Oryzias latipes: one gene and its partners. The protein of the gene in region 5 binds, or shares a complex with, the protein of the main gene of each other region. Links are inferred from orthologs where the notes say so. Each region holds a gene or a part of one and is shown on either strand. Other genes may lie near its edges.

Region 1 (4,086 bases), about 980 kb from region 5:
TGAAACCGAAATTTTTTTTTTCACATGTTAGTCTTTATCTAAGTAGAATCAGATTATTTGGTGCATTTAAATGAAGGCAAACACATGATAAAACGTTGATTTAAGCTTTATGGCAGACTAATAAAATGTGTTATTTAAAACGGATTGAAAACAACTAAATCACTGATTTCTTTTTTCTTTCAAAATGTCAGAAAGTTTTTACCTTAAACACTGAGTTTTTATAAAATGTCAAACTTTTTTCTTGCCATCTACAGTAGAGCCACGTAGCAGCTGAGATTTCAGACTTCCTGTTAATCTTACAAAACAAAACCAAGGACACTCTGCTGGTTGTTGTTTTTTTTAGAACAATCCAAATACCTTGATGTCATTGTCGATGCCTCCAGACAGGATTTGGTCGCTGGTGTCATTAAACGTCACGGCCAAAACTTGGTAGGTGTTCTGGAAGGTGTGAATTGCCGCCTTTTTACGGATGTCCCACAACTGCAGTGACGATTAACAAAAATACAATAAAGCAACATTTAAAAACTTTGAATGGGACCTCAACAGTTGAAGCATTCAGAATAAATAACTGCACCTAAAATAAAAATGTCACACCTTTATCGTCCCATCATCGCTGCCGGTGCAGACCAGTTGTGGCCCCCGGCGAGCTGGGTAGCAGGTGTTAACAAAGGAAGTGTGACCTTTCAGGCGCTTAATCCTCTCCCCTGTTTCACTGTCCCAAATGCCCACGGTCTTGTCTGTGCTTGCCGAAAATAACAAGCTGGAGGCACAAAAATGATCCAGTCAAATTTTATGGAAAGGTTATTTAAGAAATGTAGATAGTTCCAAGTCCTAAAATTTACAGATGAACATTTTTTTTGTTCCATAAAGTTCCTTAGTTTTTGAAATCAAACTAAGACTAAGAAACAATGAGAATATGAGCTTTACTTTCACTGTAAACATAACCTAAAACAAGAAAAATGTCAATTTAAAGGTGAAGTTTAAAGATAAAATCTACAGCTTTCTTCCTACCTGCCATCTGTGTTGTAATGCAGCTCCATCACAGCTCCACTGTGGCCCTTCAGGGTGGCGTAATTTTCACACTCCCCAAAAACGTTCCACAGAACTGAGGTAAAGGAAGTAAGTGAGGAACAAAGCAACAGAAGAAGGCCGGGAGAACGGCAGCTTGCCTCTTTTTGCTTACATATGAGTCGGTCGAAGCCAGAAGACGCCAGCGTGGCTCCATTTGGATGAAATTTGCAGCAGTACACCTCGCCCTCGTGGCCCGACATCAGCATGATGGGAGCTTGCAGGCTGGAGGTCCGAGGAGGACCCTGGAGGAGAAAGGTCAGTTTAATTTACTTTCTGTTTTTTTCTTCCAGATTTAGTCCAAGTGAAATCTAAAAAGAAAACAGGCATGTGATAAAAGACAGATAAATAAAAGTGCGTTTGGGCTTAATGTGCCACAGAACGCTTCAGAGTAAAGTCCACAAAGTTTAATGCAAATCTGCAGCAGACCAGTGAGGAAATGGATCATTTGTAAAGGATCAAATTGATCATGTGACACAAAGGATCTTGCCACCCTATGGTGGCACACTTTCCATGCAGGGGCTTGTGGTGCAGAGGCAGAGCGGTCCACCTGATCACAAATATCGCAGGTTAGGTTCCACAAATGGGTGGGCAAGGCGGGAACCTAACCTGCGATATTTGTGATCAGGTGGACCGCTCTGCCTCTGCACCCTATGGTGGCACACTTTCCATGCAGGGGCTTGTGGTGCAGAGGCAGAGCGGTCCACCTGATCATGAATATCGCAGGTTAGGTTCCCGCCTTGCCCACCCATGTGTGGAAATGTCCTTGGGCAGGACACTGAACCCCACATTGCTTCTGGTGGTTATAGTTTGGCGCCAGTAAGAGAGCGAAACCGCCATCAGTGTGTGAATGTGTGTGTGCATGGGTGACTGTGAATGTGACTGTTGCAGGTGATATGTCATGCAGATTTTTGCAACATCAAAAGATGATTGCTAAAATGAAACCCCAGTGTTTAAAAGCTATTTATTTTTTACAATAGAAAAAAAAGATTTAGTATCTATCCTGTTAAATATCCTATAGTTTTGTCTCAATAATCAAAATATCTACTTACAGAAAAACATCTACAAACTGGAAAAGGTTTAAATACACAAAACTCATGCTTAATAAAAAAAATAACATTTTTTAATTTTCTATCATAACATTAGCCTAGGATTTGTAACCTGTTCACGGTTCACCCCGGAAACACCCATAACTGGGAAAGGTTCCTTTACCATCAGTTTGTTGATAACAACGGGATTTCGAATATAATACGTATTTTAAAGAAGCAACATTACATCCAAAAATTAAATATCCTAGCGAAAACTCGTGTTGTTATTCGTTGTCATGTGTTCTCTACGTCAAGAAATAATAGGTGCACCACAAAAAATGTCGTGTTTGAGTAAATTTTAGATTACATCATTTAAAGCATGCATAATACAAATGCGGGTCAACACCCGTGTGTATATATTTTCTCTAATTTGAGTTTTTTTGTGTGAACGTTGATTCTTTTCGTACCGTAGCCACGAGTTGCTGGGACTGTGCCGCCGCCACCAGCTCGTTCCGGGCTCGCTTCACAGCGGTGGGAATTACCGCCATGTCTCCCGCTCTTTTCTTTGGTTCAATCATCCCGAAATAATTGCAAATAATCGACAAAAATAAGTTTGTTTGTGACTACGGTTTACCGAATGACTATTTGCGCCTTCATGGGAAACGAGAAAAGCGTAGCACCAACGAAGAAATCAGGATGAAGTGTTTCCGGTGAGTATGAGCTGTGTGATTGGTTTAAACATCCATCTCCTGCTGTGATTGGCTGATGAAGACGTTGTCAGCGACAATGCACCGGAAGTACAACAATCTGAGTTCAGCTAACCACACGAAAGGTAATATTTTCATCCTTTTTTCAAGACTTAAGATACTTTTTGCGTGATTTTCCTTATCGTTCTACCACGACAAACGCCTATACTGTTCATGTCTGAGCTTTTGTCTTTGAACTGACGGTACAAACCGTAAGAGGACGAAATTATAAGCTAACCAAATTCATTGCTGACTTGTCTTGTTGTCAACTTAGATTTTTTGTTCGCTCGATTATTAAAAAACAACAACTTTGAGCTAATTTTTACATAAATAAAATTAGTAATTATATTTCTTTGGTACCGGGAAGTTAATGCTTTATTGCGACAGGTTGGCTTCATCGTAGTTTAAAATGACACGAATGACAATTTTCATTTTCAACCACATATTTGTACAAATAAATATCCCAAAAGGCACAAGGTCATTCTTTATTTGCAAGAAGTGAACAGCACAGCAGAGGTTAAAAATTTACCGAACTCTTTCTGTCAACCACATTACCTTTGAAATTAATTCATTTTCTTTTATGACTTTCGTTTGGTGAATTGGATGAAAGAAGATTGCTGTTTCATTTCCTCTCCCAAATTATGTAGAAATCTAAGAGAGGCAGTAAGTTGTCTTAAAGGGAAGAGTTTGGTCGGAAACCACGAAGATAAAGGGATTGCAAGTTTTCACCTCAAGGTCTCTGCTCTCTGAATTGTCTGGGCATAAACACTGATGGCAAATCTATCCATTTTGTAAACCCGTTTTGTCCCTTTCGGGGTCATGGGGCTGTCAGAGCCTTACCCGGCCACTCGCATGTTTTTGGATGGTGGGAGGAAGCCGGATCTCCTGGAGAAAACCCACGCATGCACAGATTTAGAGTAAAGCGCTAACCACTTTGTCACAGTGCAGCCCTGACCGCAGATCTGTACAAGGCAATGTATGCCACCTTAGTGCTGACTGATTGAGGAAACATCCAGGGGTTTTCTCTGAAAACTCACTTTACTGTTATCATCTCTAGTTACATAAAAAACCTGGTCTCCAGTTTGTATACCAGCTTCAGCTTGTACCAGACAATGCAACTACTTGGTTTTGGGAAACAGTACTGGTATAAAGTTGGCACATACCGATTCTAAACAGGTACTTATGACTGTGGCAGAGCACCTCCTCACTTGTGGGTACCAAAATCTCAAAACTAGAGTAGTTTG
Region 2 (4,058 bases), on a different chromosome or scaffold from region 5:
TGCTGTGTGAAAACAAAGAGCAGACCAGTTAAATTGAAGGACATTGCATGCAGACAACCAGCACTGGCTCTAAAATAGACTCCTTACATTGGAATAAAAGAGAAAATTACACATCAAATAAATGAATTCAGAAATTCAACAGATTTACTATAAACTAGGAGTGAATTTCTGACTCACATGGCTTCTTCTTTGTGCCTCCAAGAGCGCCATGCATGGCGTTTAGGAACCATGTCATGAAGTCCACAGCATCACCTGCAAACCAGAAAACATTGAGCAAACTCTACAAACTTATCCAGTGAGTTAAAGATTGTGGGGCAAAAAAGTATTTGGCAGCCACTGACTCTGCAAGTTGTCCCGCTCAAAAAGCTGAGTTTGGTCTGTAATGTTTACCATAGATATACTTCAACTGAGAGATAAAATGTCCAATAAATTATCCAGGAAATCACATTGTCAGATTTTTAGAGAATGTATTTGTATAATAGTGCAGAAAATAAGAATTTGGTCAACAACAAAAGTTCACCTCAATAGTTTGTAATGTAACCATGATTATCTATGACAAAGGTCAAACATAGGTCTTAAGCAGGTTTACAAACACTATAGCTATTATTCTGGACCATTCTTCCATGCAGAGCTGTAATGTTTTGAGGCTTTTGCTGAGAAACATACTTTAAACTCCCTCCACAGATTCTCTTTGATGCCAGAGTTATGTTTTTGGGATCAGTCATGTTGGAAGATCCAGCCATGTTTCATCTTTAGTGCTCTCATTGATGGAATGAGGTTTTTGCCCAAAATCTCAGCCTACATGGCCCTATTTATGTCAGCACTCCACAGGCCACAAAATAGTTACCTTGTTTGGTGATTTGGAAGTTTTTCTTGCTGCACAGGACTACAGCCTGCAGCATCTCGTGGGGCGACACGTGGGCCTTGAAGTTTCTCGGATTCCAAAGTTTGCGCATCAGCTCCCCAAACCGCTGCACCAGCAGAAACATGATGTCCCCTGGTGGCCTCCGGATGTCTCTGTAGTTCTCCTCCTCAAGGAAGTAGTTTCGCAAAGGTGGGACGTTGGAAAAAGCCTAAAAACAAAAGTACAATATGAAACCCCCTGTTATTTAAGTTGATGCCACAGCCTCAAAAATCAACATCAGCGGGGTTTCATACCTGTAGTACAGCATTGGCATAGTCGTTGGCTTTAATGTTATTAAGCCCTACAATCCCTGGCAGGTAGGTTGTACCATCGTAGGCTCTGTACAGTTTACCATGTTTGTCCAGACCCTCAATGTGCTGCTTGGTGAAAGTCGGCTTCAGCACATACTAAAGAAAAAAAGAGCAAGATTACCAACACAAAGCAAGAGCTTACAAAAAATAAAAAAAGGAGGGGTAAAAATTACTTAACATAAAACATTAAAAATTTAAAAAAGAAATGTAAAAAAAAAAGACGTATTAAAATTACAGCCAAAACTCTAAAAAGTATACTTTAAGACATTGCTAAATAACTTATTTTTAGATACTAGTACTGATACTTATGTGCAAAATATAGTAAATAAAATATACTATGCAATCAAATACATTGGCCTTGTATAAAATATATAAATATCGAACACATTTTTATGTACTCTGGGTTCACAAGTTAAAACTATTTTTAAACACAGAATATGTTAATGAAAACTATTGAAGTGTTACACTGACAAACAAGGAATGTGAGCAAAAGAATCTATCAATCATATCTAGAAGAAAAACAAAAAACTTTGTTTAATTTTAACATGTAACTGTTTACTTTTCCCCCCAGAGCAATTACCTTTTCATTTATACATTGAAAAACAGCAGATTTACTGCATTACTTACTGTGATGTCTTCTAGCGATGAGTCAATGATCTCATAGTTGTCTGGCAGACAGTAAAACTTGAGTGTGTGCAAGTTGAGGAACACATGGTGAGAAAACTGGACACTGTGAGTGTAGGCATGAGACTTCTGACCTCTGCCTGCAACAAGGAATGCAAACGTAAAGATGTTTAGTGTCATCTAAAAAGGAAAATAACAATGTGCGTTTGATGTGCTAATATGTCTACCTTGAAAGTATTTCCCACAAATAAGACAGGCATAAACATTAATGTGAGACAGAGAAATGGAGCAGAGCTTCTCAAAGTCAAAATCCAGAACACTCCTGCAAGACGAGAAGAAACTGAATTACAAGAAGAATGCTAACTAGCTTTAGCATACATTTTCAAACATTTCCTTGCCTGTTTATGGTGTCCAGGTAAGGACAATGGCGGCTTCTTCGGTCTTCAACCACACGTCCTCGCCTAAATTTGACTGTCACTGCAAAAGAGAGCAAATCACGATAAAGCTCAGTAGACGTAAACGGAATTCATTTTTACGAGAACAACTAACTACTAGCAATCAAAACATGCTTGCTAGCAAGCTAAGATTTTTCTATTAATCGATCTCTGTTTTAAAATAAACAGGTTTTACATATATTTTTATATGCTGATTGTCTTTGTCTTACATGTGAAACCATCAGTTTATTGGTGTAGAATGGAACTGACACAATATAAACTTTTTATGCTAGAAAATGCTCTTCTGGCTGGCTAACAAAACGAAAAACGGACGTAAGAGACAAATCAGCATACCTTCGTCTTCGTTATCCTCGTCGTCTTCTATTTCCTCCCTTTCACGCTTTAAAGACATTCTTGTAACTATAAGTTAGCAAACGGTTTGCTAACGAAACAAAAATTAACAAAACTTGAAGGTTTACGAGAGGAAATGAATGGATATTATTCAGCTCCTCGAAACTCGCGGTGGTTGTACGTCGGTGGTAATGGCGTGGGAAACCAAAACGTAACCCGGAGTTTAAAAAATAAATGTTTACCCCCATGTAAACTCTAAGTAATATATTTTATTTATTTGTATACTTCAGTTTCTTTTTTTGTCACAGAAATATAACCAAAATAGTTTATATTTTAGTTCAATGTGCATTGTAGGACTTACACGCAATAAATTAATTTGTAGAAACTCCGGGAACGCTACGGTTGGACATCCATTTATACATCGTTAGCTGTCTAGCTTTTTGTTAGTATTTTGCTTGTTCTTCTTTAGCTGTGTTTTCTTTCTAGAGTGTTTGCTGAAATGGATCTTATAAGAGATGAAGGAGTGCATGAGCTGAAGTACAAACCGGGGGGCCGTCTGGACATGAGCCACGGTTTCCTTCATCATATTCGGAGGAACCAGATTGCCAGGTGATTTCCTTTTTGCTGTTAGCCGAGTTAGCATACTTACTTGGGATGTCAAATGTCAATCTGTAGCTGCTGTCATTTCATGATTGATGTGAAATGATTTTTTTAAAAATGGCAGACAGTGAAATAACATTTTTTTAAAGTACCTAAAAGGCTTAAAGTCAAGTTTATTTTTACTTTAAAGCAGTAGAAGCAAAACCCTATTGGACTGACTGAAATTTTAAAAGGAGCATTAAGTTATTCGGTTTATGTTTTATTAGTGTAATTTATTATTTAAAAGTGGATTATTATATAAACTTAGGTTTGGTGTGTAAAACTTTTAAAGTTCCTCCTTGATAAATTACATACGCTGAGTTGGGCTGTTTTACAGCATCTGCTCTCTGTCTGGTCTTAAAAAAAGCTGCTACAATAATGTATGATAAGTATTTTGATTTACGTCCAAACAAAAAAGTTTGTTTTAATTCCCACACTCTCACTCTTTATTTAATCATTTAAAACGGATTTTTAACATGTTGATTTTATTTAGGCAACTTTGAAAGATGAACTATAAAGCTAAAAGAACAGCAATAATAATGTTGCTTTGTTGTGCGGCTCTTTAAATTGCTTTGATGTATGAAAAACAAAGCTGTTTTGCCTTAAAATAATAAAATTTTAAAAAAAGTATTATCCTCCAATGTGTAAACAGACCTAGGAACATTTTTAAGTTCATGGCCATGACCAAGATGCTCTGTGTTTTATTCAACTGTGCAACTTGCTATGTTTTTAAGAAATAATCAGAAAATATTTCAATTTCTTTATAAGAGATGACTATGATAAAGAAGTGAAGCA
Region 3 (2,628 bases), on a different chromosome or scaffold from region 5:
CATGCAGCTGAGAAAGGACACTCACTGATGTCTTTGCTGTATTTGTCGTATTCTTTTCGTCCGACCAGTCTCACGCCGTGTTGGCTGAGTGTCACAGTCTTGCCCCCGACGGCGAGCTTCACAACCACTCGAGCGTTGTCTGCATCGACGCCTTCAATCTGCCGCGTCAGGGAAAGTCAGAGCGGTTGGTGTAAAGGAAAAACATAATTGCTTAAGGGTGGCAGTGACGTGGAATGCTGAACTCCACCTTGCCATAGAGATCTTTGTGTGCTCCAGACTCCACCAGCACACAACCTCCAGGACCCATCACTAGCTCCTCCTCCTTTCCCGGCTCGTCTCCGGGTTTCGGCGGACGCTGATTCCGGTTGGGTTCCAGATCTTTTATGGCCGAGCGATCCGCTCCGAGGCCCAGGCCTTTCGGGCGGAGCTGGTGTTCGATTGGCTTCACGTCTCTGAAGCAGACAGAGAAAATCAGCCTTCGATCAACAACAGACTGAAGGTTAAACAGATGAAAAACTGAATCAAAAACCTGAGGTTTGATGACAAAATTAAACTCAACTATATGATGCAGCAAGCCGAAGATTTGATCATGTTAAAACTTGCTTTCTGTTGTCTTTCTTATTGTAATTTCATACGTTGCATCTGATATCCAATTTATTACAGAAGGCAAAAAGTGTATCAACAATTTAGTAGTTTTTTTCTTCCTTCTTCTCATTTTGCTAAAAAGCTTCAGACATTCCAAAAAGGTCAAAGACATTTCTTGGGCCCGCTGGGAAAGTCAAAATGTTATCAAGTCAAGGAAAAATATCGTATCACTTTGCATGAAGAAAAGTGTCTAACTCTAACTAGAAGCTGCTGAGGAGCTGAGCAGAAACGGATGCTTGAATGCTGAAGCCCAGAAACGTACAGCAGCTCACTTTTCCTCCTTCCACAAAGTTCTGCTTTGAAACCTCCGTGTTCTCCGTCTCCTCCCCAGCTCCGGCGGGCGTGAGGAGCGACTCAATGAAAACACCCGAAATCCCAAACAATGAGAGGAAGTGACGACCCAATTAACAAATAATGTCTCCTCCGGCTATCTTTGCAAACATCTAACACCACATTGGTCCAGCTTAACAGCTTACGGGGAAGCTCGGCCGACCTACTTATTTTTAGCACACGGCTTAAAGTTTGCATTGGTGCAAACGCGTGGGGATGTGTAACCTGCTGAGCCAGCAAGATGTCAAAATATGATGAAGATAAGGTTCTCCGAGCAGTCACCAAAACGATCATTTTAAGAGAATTCTGAGTTAAAACAACATTCTGCATGCGTCAAATGTTTCAAAGCATTTCTCTGTTCAAATAGTTCAAGACAGACGCGCTACAGGCAGACTAACCACGGGTAAAATGATATGAGCATCTCAATAAATCAACAAAGAGATCTTTTTTTTCTTGAAATAACTCGTTTTCCAATCAAATGTATGCATACATTTTAATTAATTGTATTTCTACTTAAAAATTGTAAGTGTTTTTTTCTTTTTACATGTATGAAGGCTGGTTCGATGGGCTAGTTAGGTGCAGGACTGGGACATGTTCGATTCCCAGAGGGAGCGATGAGCTTTATCCAGTGCGAGTCCTTGGGTAAAAGCACTTTTTTGGGTTAATGCCAAAAATATGTTTAAAAAGCAATTTAACCTGCTGTTTGTGCATTAAACAACATTTCAGATATTTTGGAGATCTTTTTGTGTTTCTTTGTACTAGAGTTGGTGATGGCACCGTTGTTACGGAGAAGAGTTCACATTGGCACTTCATGTCATCAATGTCACTGACCCCTGGTCTAGATTATGGAATTTTGCTGGATAATGAGGAAAAACTGGGAGAACAGGACTTCCTTAAACACTAGGAAGGATGTGATGTTCTCCATTGATCTATAAAAGCTTTGAACTGAGAAAGAATGAGAACATGTGGTATTCAAATCACTTTTAGTCATAAATTAAGATAAAATAATCTACGAATGACATCATTCCGAAAGTCTATGTTAGATCAGGGGGTAAAGCCAGCCGTCACTTACTGTTTAAAGGTGCGCCCAATGCCTTCACTTTTCTTCCAACCCATCCCTTTGAGCATGGCCAGTCCGTAAGCCTCCACTGGAACGCTTTCATAGTCTGCCTCTGTAGACTTAAAAACAACAAAGCTGGAAATGTTTACCAAAATAACGAGCAAGGAAGATCTAAATGGGAGGTTTGTGTACTGCTCAAGGTTTAAAGATGGCGGCTGATGGAGGGAGGCAGGCTGTAACGTCCGTGTCACTCAGCCTTTTGGTTTCGGGGACTCGACGCCGGCTGACTGAAGCCGCGCCGATCTCTGCAGCGCTCCCACTCATCGCTGTCCCCACTCAAGGCTTTCCTCACAGATTGACTGGGAGATCTCTCTCATTCAGGAGGCCGCATTAAAAAAGAGCTGCGGGGCTCATGACCCCCATGATCTGCCGCTCACACGATGGAGCAAGACATGGGATGACAGTGAAGAGACGTGCCAGGCCTCTGATTAAAGGAAGCAGAAGGAGATCTGACTGGCTGCCTGCGTGTATCTGGGTGGGGGCAGATAAAGCAGCGTTGCCAGTCTCCCACAGAGGCCTGCCCGGACAAAGTC
Region 4 (3,964 bases), on a different chromosome or scaffold from region 5:
TCGTTAGTTAGGGGGACCTGGTTGGGCGCCTGGAAGTGGGCAGGTGGGGGTACTGCATGGTCTTGGGAGAGTTTGGTCGGTGCGGTTGAGGGGGTCTGGCTTGGCTTGGGGAGTGGTCTTTTCAGGGGGGGTTAGGACAGGAGGAGGAGGTGCAGGCCCAGGTGCAGGAGACCCTGGGCCTGCACCTCTGCACTCTTCTGGTCCTGGGACGGGGTGGGGCAACCCTCTTGGGGTTTGCAGTTGCTCTGGGTGACACCTGCCATGGCTGCAGGATCTGGGGGGGGGGGGGGGGGGGGGGGGGGGGGGGGGGGCTGGTAGACTGGTTGGCTCTGTCCTCTGGGAAGGGGGTCCTCCATCAGGATGGGACTACAGAGGGTTGGGGTCAGCAATGAGACAATCATGGAGAGCCCTGGCTGGTCAAACTGCCTCGGTCAAGTTGGTGTGCTTTCTTGGCTCCTCTCTCTTTATGTATGCATAAGTATTTTTGTGTGAGCTGTAGTTGTATCGTGTATGTGTTGACATATGGAATGTGAAGATTTCACACAGGTATGTTTGTAACATACCTGTTAGCTCCTTTTGACTAATGCCTTAATCTGACAGTAATAATGATAAACCTCCAGCAACTTTTTGCTTTATGATTCTGAATCTACCCCCACTCTACTTCTTTGATCATGCTCCAACTTCCTTTAACCCCCCCCCCCTTTTCCCTTTTCAAAACAGGTATACAAACATAATCAATATAAATAAAGTTTACCCTCAAATACAGAAGAGTTTAAATAAATATACCCCTTGTGTGTCAGAAGATTCATGACCCCCTATTGTAACAGTAAAATCTCTCAAACACAAGAGGCCTTCAGCTCTGATCTGTTTGCTCAGCTGTTGGACAGAACAAGTTAACAAAAAAGAAAAAAAGTCTTATTTGAAACTTTTTGTTTCAAAACTTTGGCGTTTAAAAATTCTAACAACAGTTTAGTTGACAACCTTGCTATAGTCCAGTTCTGCCTCTGGTTTTGCATCTGTGGGGCAGGCTGATGCGCCCAAGTAGATCCTCTCTCCTAAACAAAACTTCTTCCAGCCCTCCTCATCTGTAAGGTTTGGCTGTAAAAGATCACACTTAAATATTATGCAAATGAGCACCTTTGACCTTTGCTAACATTGCAGCGGGATTTGACATCTTACCATGCGTACATTATTATCCAGAGTCTGGCTGCTCCAATGTTTTCTATTCTTGGTGATGCTCTAGTAAATTAAAAAATTAGACATTATAAGCAGAAATATAAGTGAGATATAAAAGCAACACACTGTTCTTTTAGTTTTTCTTACCCGTCTCACGTCAGAAAAATTACTGACTTGTTGTTGTTGCCAGTGAAGGCTGGGGGAGAAACCTACTGGGGGAGCGTGGCACCCAGCTACCTGAGACAGAAAATATGGTTTTCCAGATTATCATGTCTCTTGGCTGCAGAGTCAACTATACATGACCTCACCACACAGACAAAGCCTTAACAAATAAAGATTTGACCAAATAAATAGATTTTCACTTACAGATACATGGACTGTTTGCTTCTTCTTTAGTTTCTTAGGGTCAATTTGAGCAACCACCACCTCTGGACACATGGACGCTTCCAACCTACATCACAAGGAGGTGAGGGGTCACTGGGAAACACAGCTAATATCTTCTCTTCAATTTCTAAAACGAGTCATTCACAGATGTTGAAATCAATAATCTTTTTATTAGAAGAAGTTGAATTTCTTGCTGCTAAATCTTTTTGGTATTCAACCATGGGTGATTTAAATTGGGAAAAGACTAATACTTCTGTTCATAAATACTGTATTAATATTAAAATAAAATAGGTTTTATTTTGCTTTCTACCCAGTTAAAGATACACTAAGAAGATTTAAAATAAACAGAACAATTTTGTTTTTTGCCAATCAAGTAAGGAGACAATTTTCATTTATTTATTCTTTCTATGTACACCAAGCAATTTTGGTCGGATCTGCGTGAATTTATAACCACAAAATTTAATATAACTCTCTGAATTCTTTTTTTAATGTCATATTATATTTTTAATTACATGGTTTGCCCAAAAAGGTAAGTTTTGTTACTGAACTGTTCATTATTTTTGGGACATTCCTCATTCATACATATAAGCAGTCCATATTGAAGGCGACAAGAACATTTGATATTTTAAAGAAACGGCATATTATATTTTATTTACTTATATTCTATGTTCAAAAATAATTGGACTGGACTGATTATTAAAGTACAGGTGGCACGTGTTGTGCAACCTGTGTAGTGTTTTCTTTTACCTATATTATTCTATTCAGTTAATACAATAAGTATTGATAATAAAGTTTGTTGAAAAGAAACAACAGAAACACTTAAATATACTAAGTGGAGAGCTAATTCCACGGTTCGATACATAGACTGTAAATAGGAACTTTGGTTTTATACAATTTTTTTTATACCAATGCTTTGCTATTCTAAAGCATTTTAATTATGAAAACACTGGCTTTCCACTTTAATGAGAACAGAAGGGAGAACTTACTGGACCTGTCGCAAGTACTCCTGGGGGTTCCTCGGTGGACCGCTGAGGTCTACGTGCTCGGTGTCTTGTCCTAACTCCACCGGAAGCAGCCTTGGCATTAACTCCTCAACATCCGACTTCATTTTCCGCTAATAATGTAAAACTCTTAAGCGAAATCAGGACATTAAAACGAAGACTAGGCAGATGCTAGTATTTACTGTTGTCCAACAAGCGCCATTTTGTTTTTCAAACTAGATTTGATGACGCCAATTTTGTGCGCGAGGCGAGATTTGTTTCCATAGTGACGTGACAGCGCCTGAAACTTTGGCAGCGACAAGGAACGAAGTCCACGAGCATTTTATGTTGCGCATTTAAACACGTTTATTATACCTCAATTCAACCGCAGAAGCTGTTTAATAAATAAAAAAATTTCAAATCAAGTTGGTGAATGAAAAAAATAAACTTTTGACATTAGAGCTAAATTGTTTTGTTCTGCAATCAGGTTACGAGCAACGTTGTTAATTATTAGCTTCATGCTAGCGTTATATCTTATCTCCATTCTTTCGTTTACCACTAGTGAGGTTTCATGAGAGAAACAGCACAGAGTCAATGTCCACTTTCCTGAACAGCAGGTCAAAGGGATTTCTTCTCAAATATGGGACTTTTTCTATGATACACTCCAGCTAAAGCACCCAAAATGGATGTTTCCCTGCTACATAAATTCTGTTGGATTGTGGGTCTAACGTTTGTGATTTTGCCTCTTATAAATCCAGGAATGTTATCCGACTACAAGATCTGTGGAGATTCTGAGTGTGAAAGTAAGTCCAAACACTTGTGTCAAAATAGTTTGAAGTTCCTAAAAAATACTGTTATATTTTATGCATGAATTTAGCTTAGTTGGTTTATTAAAGACATTTTAATCATTTTAATGCAACTGATCACTTGTGTTTGTGTGTGTAGGCCTAATGAGCAGGGTTCAGGCCATAAGGGACCACAAGAGTAACGACTGCCGTTTTCTAAGCTTCAGACGTGGAGATATCATTTTTGTCTACCACAAACTTACAGGAAAGAGGGAGGATCTGTGGGCAGGCAGTGTATGTCCAATTTTCATCTCTTTTATATCTCTGTCGCCTCCTTATCATGAAACCTTAATGTAAATTGTCCCTTATCCAAGGTCTTTGGTTGAACAAAACAATATTCCTTATTATACAAAAAGCCTTAGTGTTTATTTGGGATGCTGACATCTTTGACTTTCATTTAACCGTTGGATGGAAGAGTTTTATTTTGAATGTTTAAATATAGTCATGTTTAAACTAATTTGAAAATTCTGTTAGAATTTAATATTTTGATGCCTGTTCTTGTACTCACGCAATGACAATAATATTGAATCTAATCTAATTTTTGTGTTTTTGACCTGTTAAATATGAATTAGATTTTGA
Region 5 (4,042 bases):
GAGATCTTCAATAACAAACATAAGTTTTTACAATGATGTCAAAATTCAAAGTGGATTTTCTTTATTTTATTGGAAACTTATGTGGGTTAAGAGCCAGCCCATCTAAGTATTGGACAAAAGGTTTTTACATTTGCAGTCATCAACATCCACACCATCCACCAGAGGTGGATCAGCAGTATCTGGAACATCATCAACAATAAGTTGAGATGTAATCAGTTCCAGAAACTGTGAAAAAAAACCTTATCAACCTATTTCAATCACTTATAGGAAAAGTGAAAACTAATCAAGCCAATTAAAGAGCCAAATATTACAAAGAGAAAAAAAAAGATTTATTCTTCTTTGATGCCAGTAGAACAGCTACATTTTCAGCCAACTTTGCCAAAGACACAAGAAGGTATAAAAAAAGCAAAAAACAGATGACATTTTTACCCAGTTTAAATGCTGCTCAGACATTTTATTCAAGATGGTACAAATTATGAATCAACAGCATCCAAAACCCCCTCGCGGTCTTAAACAACCCACGAGTATAAAAAAGAAAAACAACCCTAAACTTACACTTAGATTCACTTTGCGTCCACCGCGCAGTACAATTAAAAGCTGTACAAACAGTTGGGGCTCTGAAATCATCTCCGTGGTCCACCTCGCCCTCGTCCTCTTCCTCTGCCACGGCCCCGTCCTCTGCCTCGCCCCCTACCAGCAACTGAGAACAAGAAAGGCCAGATTCTTTCACCATACTCGTGAAAAAAAAAAGTTTTAATCAGCAGAACAAAACATTTCTCAAAGAAATAAACAGCAGATTTACACACCCATGATGAATATAAATACTGTTGAGGGATTTCTTATCGCAGAAAAATCCTTCTCAACTTAATACAATTTTCCAGGTAAGAATGTGCCCAAATCTCCCACCTGCTTCTCTCTTCTTGGACTTGATCTTTGGTTCAATGTCGACCAGCAAGGTGTCCAGTGGAAGACTGTCTGGCAGGATGAAGTAGCGAATGTTGTTGCCTCGGATACTCAGGGACTCCAGCTGAGTGGGTTCCCTGTTCTTTAGGGTCATTTTCACCGCCTTCAAGTGTGTGTTCATGCTTACATCAACACCTATTAAAAAGAAGAAGAAGAGGATTTTAAAAATGATTTAGTTCATTTATTCGTCTCTAAAGTGTTTGCTCTCACCTGTGATGGTGCCATGGACCTGAGTGCCATTCTTCAGTTCAATGGTAACGGTCTCATGACTGAGCTTCATCAAAAACCTGTGTGGACACGGGAGAGTAGCATACATTTACATTTACTTAACCTTTAAGAGTTGTTTTACTGCACTATACTTTACCAAACATACCATTTTGTAATCAAAAAGCAGTACCAGTATAATGTATCTACACTTCAGGGAAAGAATCATTTTCGCAAAAAAAAAAAAAACATGATTTATTGTCATCCCACATGAAACAAAAAAGGTTCACGTGTTTTATTCTTACTCAAAAGTGTATTTTTCAAAAACCTAGAATTGGCACATTCATTTTGGTTTTCTGAATCCAAAAGGCACTTTCATTTAAACGTCAATGTTTTAAAGTGACAATACCATGAAAAAAAATACACTAATAACATGCTGACCTTTAAGCAGAACTAGAACAGGAAAATGTTAATCAATAATTGATTGGTGGACTTTAACAAATTAAAAGCATCATTTTTATGTCTGTTCATATTCACAAAATACAAATGAAATAAACAAAATGTCAAACATAAAAAAAACGAGGGAAATAAACATACTGTGATATGCACCATTTCATACAAAAACTGCATTTGATCCCATACATACTGGATAAAATGGAAGACTTTAAACTCCATTTTCAGATTCACATTTTTTAATGTTTTGTATGAACATTTATGCGGACTTTTTGTTAGAAATAATTGTTGGTAACGTTTTCTGTTAATCATAAAAATATTTTGATAAATTAAATACAATAAAAAACCGCTTTATTAGAAGGTTGGCACCATTGCTGTAGAAGACTTTAATGACTAGATCCATCTTGAATGATCAATTAGCCAACTTACTGCTTTGCACAAAGAAGACGTCTCTCTCTCACAAACATTAGACAGCATTTTTGTACAACACATAAGATTTAACGTATAAAATTGTACAAAATACCCCCCCCCCCCTTTTTGAATGTATTTTTTTTTTAGTATCTAAACAAAACTCGTGTTAGCTCTTAGCTTGTTAGCTTCGGTGGATTGATACTGTTGTGTAAACTGAAAACAAAACATTTGTCTCTTAAGTTGTGGAAATTAAAAACATCCAAAAATAAATACAATTAAATAATGATAAAGCACTTTGAGGAAACGGAAACAACATCTAATAAATTAACCTCCTTTAGTACGATAGTTTTAATAATGCGGGGGGAAATTTGCAAAACCATAAATGATAACGAATCAGCCTCGATCTTTTACAAATATTGCTAAAACAAGCAGTTTAATCCTTGATTAAATAGTTAGCTCTAATGATATGTTTATATGTATTTTTTGAATGAAAACCCAGCAGCCTTGTTCCCGCCTCTCCACACAGTTCATTTGTCTATCTGAACCCATCCGGCCACACAGCCTTTATTTCATCATCCTATCTTAAACCAGTCGACACATCTACAGACCATGCAGCAAATTACCTGACTAGTTTCATGACGAACAGTAGAGAAAAGATCCTCCACCGACGAGAAAAATTACAGCGATCGAGTGAAATCACAGGCCGCTGATGTACCACCAACGTTTGTGTCGCGTTGATATGACGTCAGAAAGAGGCCACCGCTCACCGTCAATGTTGTCTTACCGCCGCCTGGTGGTGAGATGAAGAACAGTCAGTGGAAAGACAAAAATGAGTTGTTTTCTCTTACTCATTGGGTTGGTGGCATCTAATATTCCTTTACTGTCTTTATTTAATTACTTACCAATTACTTTAATTATTAACTGTTTTTCTATGTGTTTTATTGTTTTTTCCATCTAATGCTGTTTTTTTCCCCTCTCAATCTACTCAATTTTAAATGTTATGTTAATGTAAGCCCTTTGGCACCCTGATGCCATTGTATGGTGCTAAAAAATAAAGTACCAGTCATTTATTCATAGATTTCTATTTATGTATTTGGCATTTAAAATTATTAATGGAAATGCCATTTAACAGAGAAACTTTTTTCTTAAATTTTGTTCTTATTGGCCCTTTTTTTGAAGCAACAAAAACAAAACATCTCTGAGAGAACTGCTTCAACTACGAATACTGTTCTGTTTTTATTTATGATCAAAAAATTGTCATAGGAATTTATTCAGGCATTGTTTGCAGTACCGTGAAAAAAGAGAACACAGCACACTGTGGTTCACATTCAGCCAATCATAATTGACCCGATTTGGTAGAAGTAGGCTTTGTGATTGGGTGTCTTCATGTTGGCATCACATGTACATAAAAAGGCAAAGACAGTAAAGACAGAAAAGAAAAAAAAATAACGATTTACTTCCTGATTGATTTCATTTTTTTACCTTTTCACCAACTTGCTCGTATTTAAGGTTATCGATTGATAGAGCTGTTACTTCCAGTACTTGATCAATTTTCAATACGTAACTGTATCCTTTACATCCTTACAAAATACACAAAAAGCTGGGAACCATTGATCTAGGAAAGAAGACAAAAAGAACAAAGGAGCAAACTTTCAGATCTTTTTATTGAGAGTAAACTTTGCATTGATATTTCATTTAGAGTTTTGGCCAAACAGCAATACTTTTTATTTATTGAGACAAGCTGGGAATGTATCAAGTGAAACCTAAAGAAAGTGCAAATTGTTGTATTTAAAAAAAAAGAAAAAAGAAGGTATTTGTGGAGGGAGGATTTAATCAAACAGTGTGGAGAACAAATGCCACCACAACATTCACCATCAGTCCAAACGTGAAAATGCTGAAAAACCCCCAAACATGTCCTCTGCATGCTGCCTGATGAGTGTAGCACGACTGCAAAAAAACAAAAATACAAACTTCCCATTCAGGGATAATAAATGCTGTATAATAAAAAAGA
Region 6 (4,292 bases), on a different chromosome or scaffold from region 5:
GCAAACTGTTCCTTCTCGTTGGCTGACAGGGACTTGTCCTTGACCGTCTGGTGTAGGCACCTGCAGAGCAGACTAGAGGTCCCGTCTTTAGCCGTGTTCTCCTCTCCGCTCCTCCTTCCATCTCCATCTCCTCCTCTCTGACCGCTGAGTCCAGGCAGATGCTGCAGGATCTTTGCCATCATCGAAAATGCTCCTTTATTGAAAACAGCTGAGTGGCAGCAGGACCGTAAGGCGCCTTCTGGGTTCTGAAAAGCCACTCTGGCTACGAGTGAGACGGCCGTGGTCAGGTTCCCTTGAGGAACAGCTGAGGACGCTCCACTTCCTGCTTGGATGATGCAGTTGAAGGCCATGTTGAGCTCCTGCTCAAACCCTCCAGCCACCTCAGGAGGAACGGGGAATTCGAAGAAGCCCTTCCTAGACAATCTTAACATGGACACCAAGGCTTTGTTCATGTCTTCTAAGGAAAGGCTGGAGAAGATATCTGCTATGATTTTCATCAGCTTTCTGCACTGGCTGACGTCTGCATTCTCCATGCGTAGTTTGTTCATTAGAGTAGAGGAGAGGCCGATCACGGCGTCATGCTGACGGAAGGAAGCTTGGCTCCTCTCCAGGCAATCCATCCAGCCTTCATCACAGTGCGTCCAGGGCGGCTCTCTGGCAAACAAGGCAGCGAAGCTCTCGTGGTCTTCCAGGCGGTGAGTGATGATGGTGGAGAGCACCTGAGCATGCACCTCAGGGCTGCTCTCTGTGACAGGAAGAACCAGAGACTTCAGCACAGCCACGAGCAGGTTCTTCTCTGTCGCTGCTGTGGGAGCTTCTTCCAGAGCAGTGGAGACTCTCTGGACACTTTGCTCCAGCTGGAAAGCAGAGTAGGAGGAGCGAGAGCCGTCCTGGACGTCCAAGAGTCCTCGGTCTTTCCAAGACTGACTAAGTTCTGCTATGACCCTCAGAGCTTCACCCAGATCCATCCTCCTGACTTTGAACTGAGACGGGGAAATCGAAGCCCGTAAATGTCTCTGAGCTTCTTCAACAAGTTCAGGTTGAAGTTTTTCATTCTTTCCTTTAGTACTGATGGCTTTACACAGGATGTCCATCTTCTCCTGAGCTGATAGAACAACTTCTCGGTCTATCAGAAATGATGTAAAAAGAGCATCAAGGGACATGGAGAGAGACTGGAAGCACAGGTCTAATGAGGAGACGTGATCTGCCATGTCTTTGAGGGCATTGAGGAGAATGTGGAAAACATCAGCCTCTGCTGAGTCTTGTGTCTCCAGCTTTAACCTCTTGGCAGCCTGAGGAGACAAACTAGAAGACATGGAGGTGAGACGAGCAACCTGCTTGGCAAACATCATCTCCATGCTCTCGTCGTTTCTGAGCTTGGCTTGCTCTTGGCCTTTCCACAGCTCCCGCCACATCTCTAGAAAGAAATGAACATCCTCTTCGCTTGTAGGCTCGCTCTTCACATGCTCTACCAGCCTCTTCAGCTCCAAGCAGATCAAATCTTCAGGAAGATGAAGGAGAAAACCTGCGTAAACATGTGAAGCAGCAGCGTTCTTCACCAACTCCAACAGGACAACATGGTTAACTTCAGGGAGGCTCTGCTGGAAGGAAAAAAAGGGGTTCTCCCTCCACGCTCTCTCAACATCCTCCTCAGCGCTCAAGAGCTTCAGCCACACAGCACAGACCACCTTCTTCGTCCAGGTCGAGCTGTGATGACCGTCAGCTTCCTCCAGTTCACAGACTTCCTGCAGAGCCTGTAGGATCGGGCGTCCCGCCGCGATCCAGTCGGATTTGTTCACGCAGGATAGAAATGAGGGGCGACACAGTTTGTCTGCCAGCAGGAAAGCCCCCTGCAGAACCGCAGAGCCTGAAATCACATGACATAATCAGAGCCCTGAAGTGCCAATCACATCATCATATCAATGTAAAGACATCTTAAAGATAACAACAACAAAAGCAATAAAATAACAAGAAAACGTTACATTTGATAAATCTAAACAAAATTAAAGCGGGGGGTGGGGTGGGGTGTCAAGTTTTCATTCAAATATGCAGTAAGAAACAAGAATTGCAAAAACAATTTTGTTTTTGCATTCCAGGACTGCTGTGTGATGTTTTAAAACAGTAATTTGTGGATGTGATTTGAACTTCAGGGCCACCGTATCCACAGATAAAAACACCAAAGCTTCTTCTCAACTTTCAGATATGATCTCCAATAAATAACTCAGTTTTCATGGACAGAGCCATATAGTTTTTATTGTGTTTAATGTGTGAGTGTTTGTGTGCGTTCGTCTTTATGTCAGGATCAGTGTAGATCTTGTTGTTATTCACCTTTTGCCAAATCCCTTCAGGGGATCCATATGTCATTCATTTTACCACACCAAACTCAGTTTCCCACAATTCAAAGCGGTTCACCGCGTGTGTAAATCGGTATGAATGCGTCGTGTGTTGGAAAAACAATTTAAATTAAAAAACATTGCTTTTCTTTATTAAATAATATTTTCTTTTGTAAGAATTTATTTTAACTTAAAGTCAGTGACTTAACTGGTCTACAGAGAGAGTAAAAATAAAAGCTATTTTACCTTTGTCCATTATCACCGTGATAATTGTTGCGTGCAGGTAAATACCAGTGTAATCCGTTTACCTGGAAACTCTCTAAACGCGCCGTTACGTTCACGGTTTCCGAAGTTTAAAGTTAGATTTCTGAAACAACATAATCCAACTAAAAACATCCACAGCAGAACTGCGCAGCCGCAAACACGCTTCCGCCATGCGACGCATATACCGGATGTTTGTTCACAGCGACGCACCCGGATAAATTCGGTACTGCAGTTTTAACGTTTTTCTTCGGAGCGAGATTTAAATATTTTACATCAGATTTAAACGTCATTTCATTTGTTATTGTGTTTATGAATATATATAAAAATGTTTTTTTTTTGTTATGGTTTTAATCTTGTAGGTCATGTGACGCGAGCTAAAGGCAAATCGTTTTTTTTCTGCAGAAGTGAAAATGAAAGTACTTTTTAGATCCTGGCTGCTGGTAGAAACAAGGTGAACCAAGAAATTCAATTGAATAATCAAAATGGGAGTATTTCAGAAAGTTGTTATTTACTTTTATGTGATTGGAGGTAAGTTATTTTAAAGTATGTTTGCAGCTGTTCTATCAGTTAGTTCATGAAAGGAACTAAATTTAAATGAAGGGTGTGTTTAATGTTAGTTTTTCTGTGTTCTCAGTTGTGAGGAGCGTTCAGCAGATACCATGGCTGTCATGTCAGTTCACTGACGAACATGTGTCCAACAACAGTGAAGGACACATTGAGACACAGCTCATTCCCAGAGAGGCTATGGTTCAGTTTGGTCTAAAAGGAGACGCTCCTGTCAATCCCCACGCCATCACCTTCCTGATCACTGGTGAGCTTCTGTCCAAGACACGAATCGGGGCAGGAAAGAATTACATTCATGACTTTTTATGTTGCTTTAGTTTCAAAACTGGACCTGCAGCGGTCCATTGAAGGGGTGGAGGTAGAGGAGTTGGAGTGTGAGGTCCGACGGTACAGCACAGAGGGCATCCATGTCCGCTGGCCCGCCCTGGGGGCAGAGGGGTACAACCGCTGGTACACCTGCATCCTCAGACACAGAAAGGACAAGTTCAGCGTCACTGCTTTCCTCAGACATCCGTCTGACCAACCTCCTCCAGGACAGCAGGACTACCGCAGCTGGCCGCCCATCGCCGACCGAGAGGTTCTTACCACCACAGGTAGGTGTCCCCTTCATCTGACGCTGCTTCTGCATGTCAGAACGAAGGCCTGTAAGAGGGTTCATCCTATTTGTGTCCATAGTCGCCATGTTGCTGAAAACAGAGACTCCATCTGTGAAAGTCAGACTACGCTCGCAGCCCAAACTCCACTGTCAGTTCAGCATCGACCACCGAGGCCCAAACGTCACCGTGGAGTGGCACTGGCAGTCCCGCGGAGAGAGAAGGATGCTCTTCCGCTACAACAGCCGCTCCGGGGAGATTCATGGCTCTGGAGTTGGGAAGAAGGCCCTGGCTGGGGGAGATGCCTCCTACACTCTCCCCTTCACCAAGATGAGCAGCGAAGGAAGCTACATTTGTTCTTTGACTGTGAACCCGCTTTTCGCCAACATGGAGCTCAACCTGCACGTCGAGGGTGAGGAGATGATCTAAAACCTGTAATCTGTCCTCTTCTTTTACCATCAGCGGTCGCACTGCTACAGTGTTGGTGATCCAGCTGAAAACATCTGTTCCTCTTCTTCAGCCTCTTAAGGCTAGAAGA
Region 7 (4,089 bases), on a different chromosome or scaffold from region 5:
GATCCAAATGGAACTCTGGTATGAACACCTCTTGCATTTGTTAGAGTAAGCATGCTGAGGTCAGAACATAGCTGGCTCTTCCAGCATAGCAATCATTCCAAACACACTAAAAATGAAGCTTTTTTTTTTTAACAAAAAGTTGGTAAAATGTCTGCAAACAGGTGCAGAATTCTAATTGAAAGGCACAGAAAACAAAATATGAAGTTTAAGTTACCAATACTTTGTCCAGTCATTTCACTAGTTAATTATTGTACAAAAATTCCAGAGTTATGCCTGATTTTCATTAAATTATTTATAAATTGATTAATACTTTTGTCATTTCTCAGACATTTCTTAAAACATTGGAGGGGAGGGACAAGTTTGGTGCAATCCAAATATTGTTCAGTATTAAGGGGAAAAGGGGCAAATCATGTTCTCTCTTCTCCCTTTCATTTAAGAGTGTATTTTTGAGCCTAAGAGGTGTTTTAGATTTGTATTTTCACAATTATGTATTGATATATCTTTGGAAAAGAATAAAATAAACTCATCAAACTTAAACAGCAAACACTGAACAAATATAAACCAGTGTTTCTGTAGTTGAAGTTAAAGCCAAAGGCAGCAAAGAGTCCAACGGCACAAATCCAGAGAAACATCCTTTTAAAGAGGAAGGCATATTATCTGAGAAGAACATCTCAAAACCTAAGGATGAAGACTCATCAGGTCTAAAATGGAAAAAGACAGGAATTTTACATCTGTTACAAGTGTTTCAATTATGTTTAATAGAATCTACGTATCAAGACTGTTAAATAAAGTTAAAAATAATGTGTTCAATTTGGAATAAACTATATTTAAAAATCATGTTGTGATGTTAATGTTCACTTTGAGTGGAGAAATTAAGCTACAGGAAGACACTGAACCTGATGCACATTGCCCCATGGTGGCCACGTAAAATGTTTTGCAAACCCTAATCGCACATTTCTACAGTAATTCTACCGGTTACTTCAAAAGAAGAGACAAGATGACTCCTCGTAAACACTTCCTTGTTTACACCAGTGCTCAAAGGTTTTATATGTTTTTCATTTTAAATGTGAGTGTTGGTTTGCTGAAATCAGTAATAGACATTTTTGGCTGTAATGCTTTAGAATTCAACCATGTACCCTGGAATATCACCACAGCATTTTGAAAAAGAAAGGTGTAACAAAGCATTTTTGTGCTAATTCTTTCTCCTTTGGTACAATATAGTAATTTCTTTACGATAAATATCAGATTACATTTGAAATGAGTAATGCATTTTCCAATTCTTTTTAAACGCACCAACAGAATCGTATTCTTGACGCATGCGCAACAGCAATTTCAATCCGGAAGTGACGTTCTATGGTATCCTCTTTCCGCTAGCCGTGTAGTGGAATCGTGAGTATTTTTTCCAAGTCAAAGACGTTTTTTTACAGATGTTTTTTTGTTAAAACGGTATAAATATGATAAATGTAGCCATACATCTCGTTTGATTAGTGTGCAGTGAATCTTAAAACAAATAAGTTTTCTAAAGAGCCCAAAATGAGTTTTTTGTCTTGTCTGAGTGTTAGCATAATCAAATTTGGTGGCTAGTAATACCCTTTATAAGTATTAAAGTCTGTTTAATCGATAAATGTATGTATATGTTTTGTTATATACAACTGATGTTACCTTGTTTGTTCTGCGTTTAAAGTACAGTAGCTAACTGAAAATAACTGTACTCATGTTTGACAAATACCGTGTTGTTGTTGAAGCAGGTTAGGGATGACTACCGCAGCAAGACCAACGTTTGAGCCGGCGAGAGGAGGGAGAGGAAAAGGAGAAGGCGATCTGAGTGCCTTGTCCAAGCAATATTCCAGCCGAGATCTTCCAGGTCACACCAAGATCAAATACAGGTGGTTTTTAGTTCCTATTAAACTCTGCTGCGACAGCTCAGTTGAAAAAGAAAGCGATTGTTTGAAAGAAACATATTTAATCATGTTAAGATTCTCGAAGATTCAATCTGAATTATTTGGGAAATGGTCAAACCGGATTGATTAAATTAGTCTTTTTGTGCTATAATTATTAAAAAGTGGAACATAAATCTACACTTGATTAAATGTCTACATGTATAATGTGTTGGGTACAATTAAGCTAACCTCACGTTGGAGCATCACATGAATCAGTTTATGACATGGGGGGGGGGGGGGGCATGTGTGCATTTTCTTGTCTATTTAGTGTCTCTCCATGACCCTTAAGAAAATGTTAAATAATTTGCTCACAAATATCTTGCATCTAATAAGTCATTGCTCAGTATTAAAATGGTTATCAACTAAATTGTATAACCATAAAGCTTTTGTACATTTGGAGTACATCATTTAGTATTGATAATTCTTGATGGTTTGTTTGCTGCAGGTTATGTTTAAATTGTAGCTACAGTGTGTAGGAGGGGTGGTTTGCATTTACCAATTGTGCAAGTTCTACAAAAAATATTTTTACAATTTTCGCTATATATTTTTTTTTAATATGCATTCAATCTCTCACAGTTGTAGTGTATATGATGGAATCATAGACCTCTCATCTTTTTAAATTAGACAATTTGCTAAATATGTTACTGAGAAATACTTTTTCCCCCAACTGTACATGTTACTATTTATCTCATGAGTGGTTTTTGGAGTTTGTAGTGGGACTTAGTCTTGAAAATGCTATGATCCCTTAGACAGCCCACTCAGGATGCCCCCGAGGAGGTGCGTGCCCGTGATTTCCGTAGGGAACTGGAGGAGAAGGAGCGTGTAGCAGCACGTGAGAAGACCAGAGAGAGGGGACCAAGAGGTTAGTCTCTATCAAAATTTTAGACTTACTGTTTTTGACACACAAGTATAAACCAAGCAAAGTATGTATTTTTCTGTAAATGCAGTCTTTACATTTTTTTCTCTCCAGAACACACTACATCCTCTTCATCATCTTCATCATCATCAAAGAGGCCCAGGTTGGATCAGATTCCAGCTGCTAACCTTGATGCTGATGACCCTCTCACTGATGTAAGTGTCTGCACTGATATAATAAAGAAAACATTTCATCAGTACACCTACGGCTGGGAGATGAGACCTTTTCTCGCTGTTGCACTTGACATGATCTGAATAGATATTGATATTTTAGTGCTATAAAACTTTCTCTTTAAAGACTGTAAATATTAAAATTAGCAATAAAATGCCTGGATTGACTTAATTGGGGAAAAATCACTGTAAAGTTGACTTTTAACAAACAATTTCTTTTGTACAACTTCTCTGCTTTGGACACATTAAACTTGAAACATCCCAGATGGTTCATTTGTGGTTAATTTTAGCTGATCAGACCACCTAAAAGAACAATTGTGGGTAAACTTAAAACTTAGTTTTTTCATTCAAGAAAAAAAATGTACACAAAATTTAAAAAGTGTGGCAAACAAACTTGATTTAAATATGACCGTTGTTCCTCCTCTGGAAAAATTGAGCAGACTGGGGCTCTCCAAATGCCAGGCTGGTGTATTTAAAGGCTAAACTCCCTGCATTGCCTCTTATGGTCGGTCCCACAGTACAGCTCCTGAAGCTGAACCTCATCCACATCTACAGCTACCAGCAACACATCCAGCACTGGTACCTCCAACAAGGTGGCATTAGTTAAACTGATAACTGTAGCTGACTTAAAAGTGTCCAAGTGTGCACACTACAAATAAAGACTGATGTACTCTCTTGTAAATGTCTTTTATTGAGAATACGTCTGAAAATGTCAACTTATTTAAAAGTCATTAAACAGTGGAAAAGAACGTCAGCAGTGCATGGGGGCTGTCACCATTCTGCCATAGTTGTGCTGCATGAGGCCATTGCAGCCTTAATCCTCTCTAAAATCCTTCCTCTTCACAGGATGACGAGGATGAGAACTCTGATGAAGATAGTGATGATGACGACACTGCAGCTCTGTTGGCTGAGCTTGAGAAGATAAAGAAGGAGCGAGCCGAAGAGCAAGAACGCAAAGTAAAACATTTGATCCATTTTGTTTTGGTACCTCTGTGTTTACAGTCAGCAGCATGACTTTGTTCAAACACAATGTTTTAATAATCAAGGAAAAATATGATTCTTG

The links.
Region 1: snrpd1 (region 5) and snrnp40 share a complex: the UniProt entries of both Homo sapiens proteins name them as parts of the U4/U6-U5 tri-snRNP complex. The link is inferred for Oryzias latipes from reciprocal best matches to the Homo sapiens genes SNRPD1 and SNRNP40.
Region 2: snrpd1 (region 5) and usp39 share a complex: the UniProt entries of both Homo sapiens proteins name them as parts of the U4/U6-U5 tri-snRNP complex. The link is inferred for Oryzias latipes from reciprocal best matches to the Homo sapiens genes SNRPD1 and USP39.
Region 3: snrpd1 (region 5) and gpkow share a complex: the UniProt entries of both Homo sapiens proteins name them as parts of the minor spliceosome. The link is inferred for Oryzias latipes from reciprocal best matches to the Homo sapiens genes SNRPD1 and GPKOW.
Region 4: snrpd1 (region 5) and gemin2 share a complex: the UniProt entries of both Homo sapiens proteins name them as parts of the SMN-Sm complex. The link is inferred for Oryzias latipes from reciprocal best matches to the Homo sapiens genes SNRPD1 and GEMIN2.
Region 6: snrpd1 (region 5) and gemin4 share a complex: the UniProt entries of both Homo sapiens proteins name them as parts of the SMN-Sm complex. The link is inferred for Oryzias latipes from reciprocal best matches to the Homo sapiens genes SNRPD1 and GEMIN4.
Region 7: snrpd1 (region 5) and cwc15 share a complex: the UniProt entries of both Homo sapiens proteins name them as parts of the minor spliceosome. The link is inferred for Oryzias latipes from reciprocal best matches to the Homo sapiens genes SNRPD1 and CWC15.

What each region holds. Positions count from the first base shown.
Region 1 is NC_019869.2:21,982,921-21,987,006, forward strand, and holds the start of snrnp40 (U5 small nuclear ribonucleoprotein 40 kDa protein), read right to left. Parts: upstream 2,801-4,086; 5' UTR 2,675-2,800; coding exon 2,564-2,674; intron 1,314-2,563; coding exon 1,184-1,313; intron 1,106-1,183; coding exon 1,012-1,105; intron 761-1,011; coding exon 595-760; intron 481-594; coding exon 358-480; intron 1-357. UniProt on the Homo sapiens protein: Required for pre-mRNA splicing as component of the activated spliceosome. Component of the U5 small nuclear ribonucleoprotein (snRNP) complex and the U4/U6-U5 tri-snRNP complex, building blocks of the spliceosome.
Region 2 is NC_019867.2:12,332,968-12,337,025, reverse strand, and holds the start of usp39 (U4/U6.U5 tri-snRNP-associated protein 2), read right to left. Parts: upstream 2,801-4,058; 5' UTR 2,686-2,800; coding exon 2,628-2,685; intron 2,317-2,627; coding exon 2,238-2,316; intron 2,162-2,237; coding exon 2,067-2,161; intron 1,980-2,066; coding exon 1,843-1,979; intron 1,312-1,842; coding exon 1,159-1,311; intron 1,074-1,158; coding exon 848-1,073; intron 253-847; coding exon 178-252; intron 3-177; coding exon 1-2. Other genes in the region: c9h2orf68 (UPF0561 protein C2orf68 homolog), read left to right, coding at 3,124-3,233, 4,032-4,058.
Region 3 is NC_019865.2:21,312,264-21,314,891, reverse strand, and holds part of gpkow (G-patch domain and KOW motifs-containing protein), read right to left. Parts: intron 2,155-2,628; coding exon 2,048-2,154; intron 453-2,047; coding exon 248-452; intron 159-247; coding exon 26-158; intron 1-25. UniProt on the Homo sapiens protein: RNA-binding protein involved in pre-mRNA splicing. As a component of the minor spliceosome, involved in the splicing of U12-type introns in pre-mRNAs.
Region 4 is NC_019880.2:19,643,435-19,647,398, forward strand, and holds the start of gemin2 (gem-associated protein 2), read right to left. Parts: upstream 2,801-3,964; 5' UTR 2,669-2,800; coding exon 2,547-2,668; intron 1,643-2,546; exon of another isoform or gene 1,628-1,642; coding exon 1,543-1,627; intron 1,414-1,542; coding exon 1,324-1,413; intron 1,240-1,323; coding exon 1,180-1,239; intron 1,099-1,179; coding exon 982-1,098; intron 1-981. Other genes in the region: transport and Golgi organization protein 1 homolog, read left to right, coding at 3,223-3,343, 3,486-3,619. UniProt on the Homo sapiens protein: The SMN complex catalyzes the assembly of small nuclear ribonucleoproteins (snRNPs), the building blocks of the spliceosome, and thereby plays an important role in the splicing of cellular pre-mRNAs.
Region 5 is NC_019869.2:22,965,507-22,969,548, forward strand, and holds snrpd1 (small nuclear ribonucleoprotein Sm D1), read right to left. Parts: upstream 2,801-4,042; 5' UTR 2,669-2,800; coding exon 2,655-2,668; intron 1,251-2,654; coding exon 1,174-1,250; intron 1,099-1,173; coding exon 907-1,098; intron 701-906; coding exon 624-700; 3' UTR 52-623; downstream 1-51. UniProt on the Homo sapiens protein: Plays a role in pre-mRNA splicing as a core component of the spliceosomal U1, U2, U4 and U5 small nuclear ribonucleoproteins (snRNPs), the building blocks of the spliceosome.
Region 6 is NC_019871.2:19,886,887-19,891,178, reverse strand, and holds the start of gemin4 (gem-associated protein 4), read right to left. Parts: upstream 2,801-4,292; 5' UTR 2,730-2,800; coding exon 2,642-2,729; exon of another isoform or gene 2,590-2,641; coding exon of another isoform or gene 2,580-2,589; intron 1,868-2,579; coding exon 1-1,867. Other genes in the region: tapasin-related protein, read left to right, coding at 3,080-3,125, 3,232-3,408, 3,479-3,754, 3,837-4,166. UniProt on the Homo sapiens protein: The SMN complex catalyzes the assembly of small nuclear ribonucleoproteins (snRNPs), the building blocks of the spliceosome, and thereby plays an important role in the splicing of cellular pre-mRNAs.
Region 7 is NC_019872.2:16,000,765-16,004,853, reverse strand, and holds the start of cwc15 (spliceosome-associated protein CWC15 homolog), read left to right. Parts: upstream 1-1,289; 5' UTR 1,290-1,389; intron 1,390-1,745; exon of another isoform or gene 1,746-1,748; 5' UTR 1,749-1,755; coding exon 1,756-1,886; intron 1,887-2,689; coding exon 2,690-2,802; intron 2,803-2,910; coding exon 2,911-3,011; intron 3,012-3,872; coding exon 3,873-3,983; intron 3,984-4,089. UniProt on the Homo sapiens protein: Involved in pre-mRNA splicing as component of the spliceosome. Component of the PRP19-CDC5L complex that forms an integral part of the spliceosome and is required for activating pre-mRNA splicing.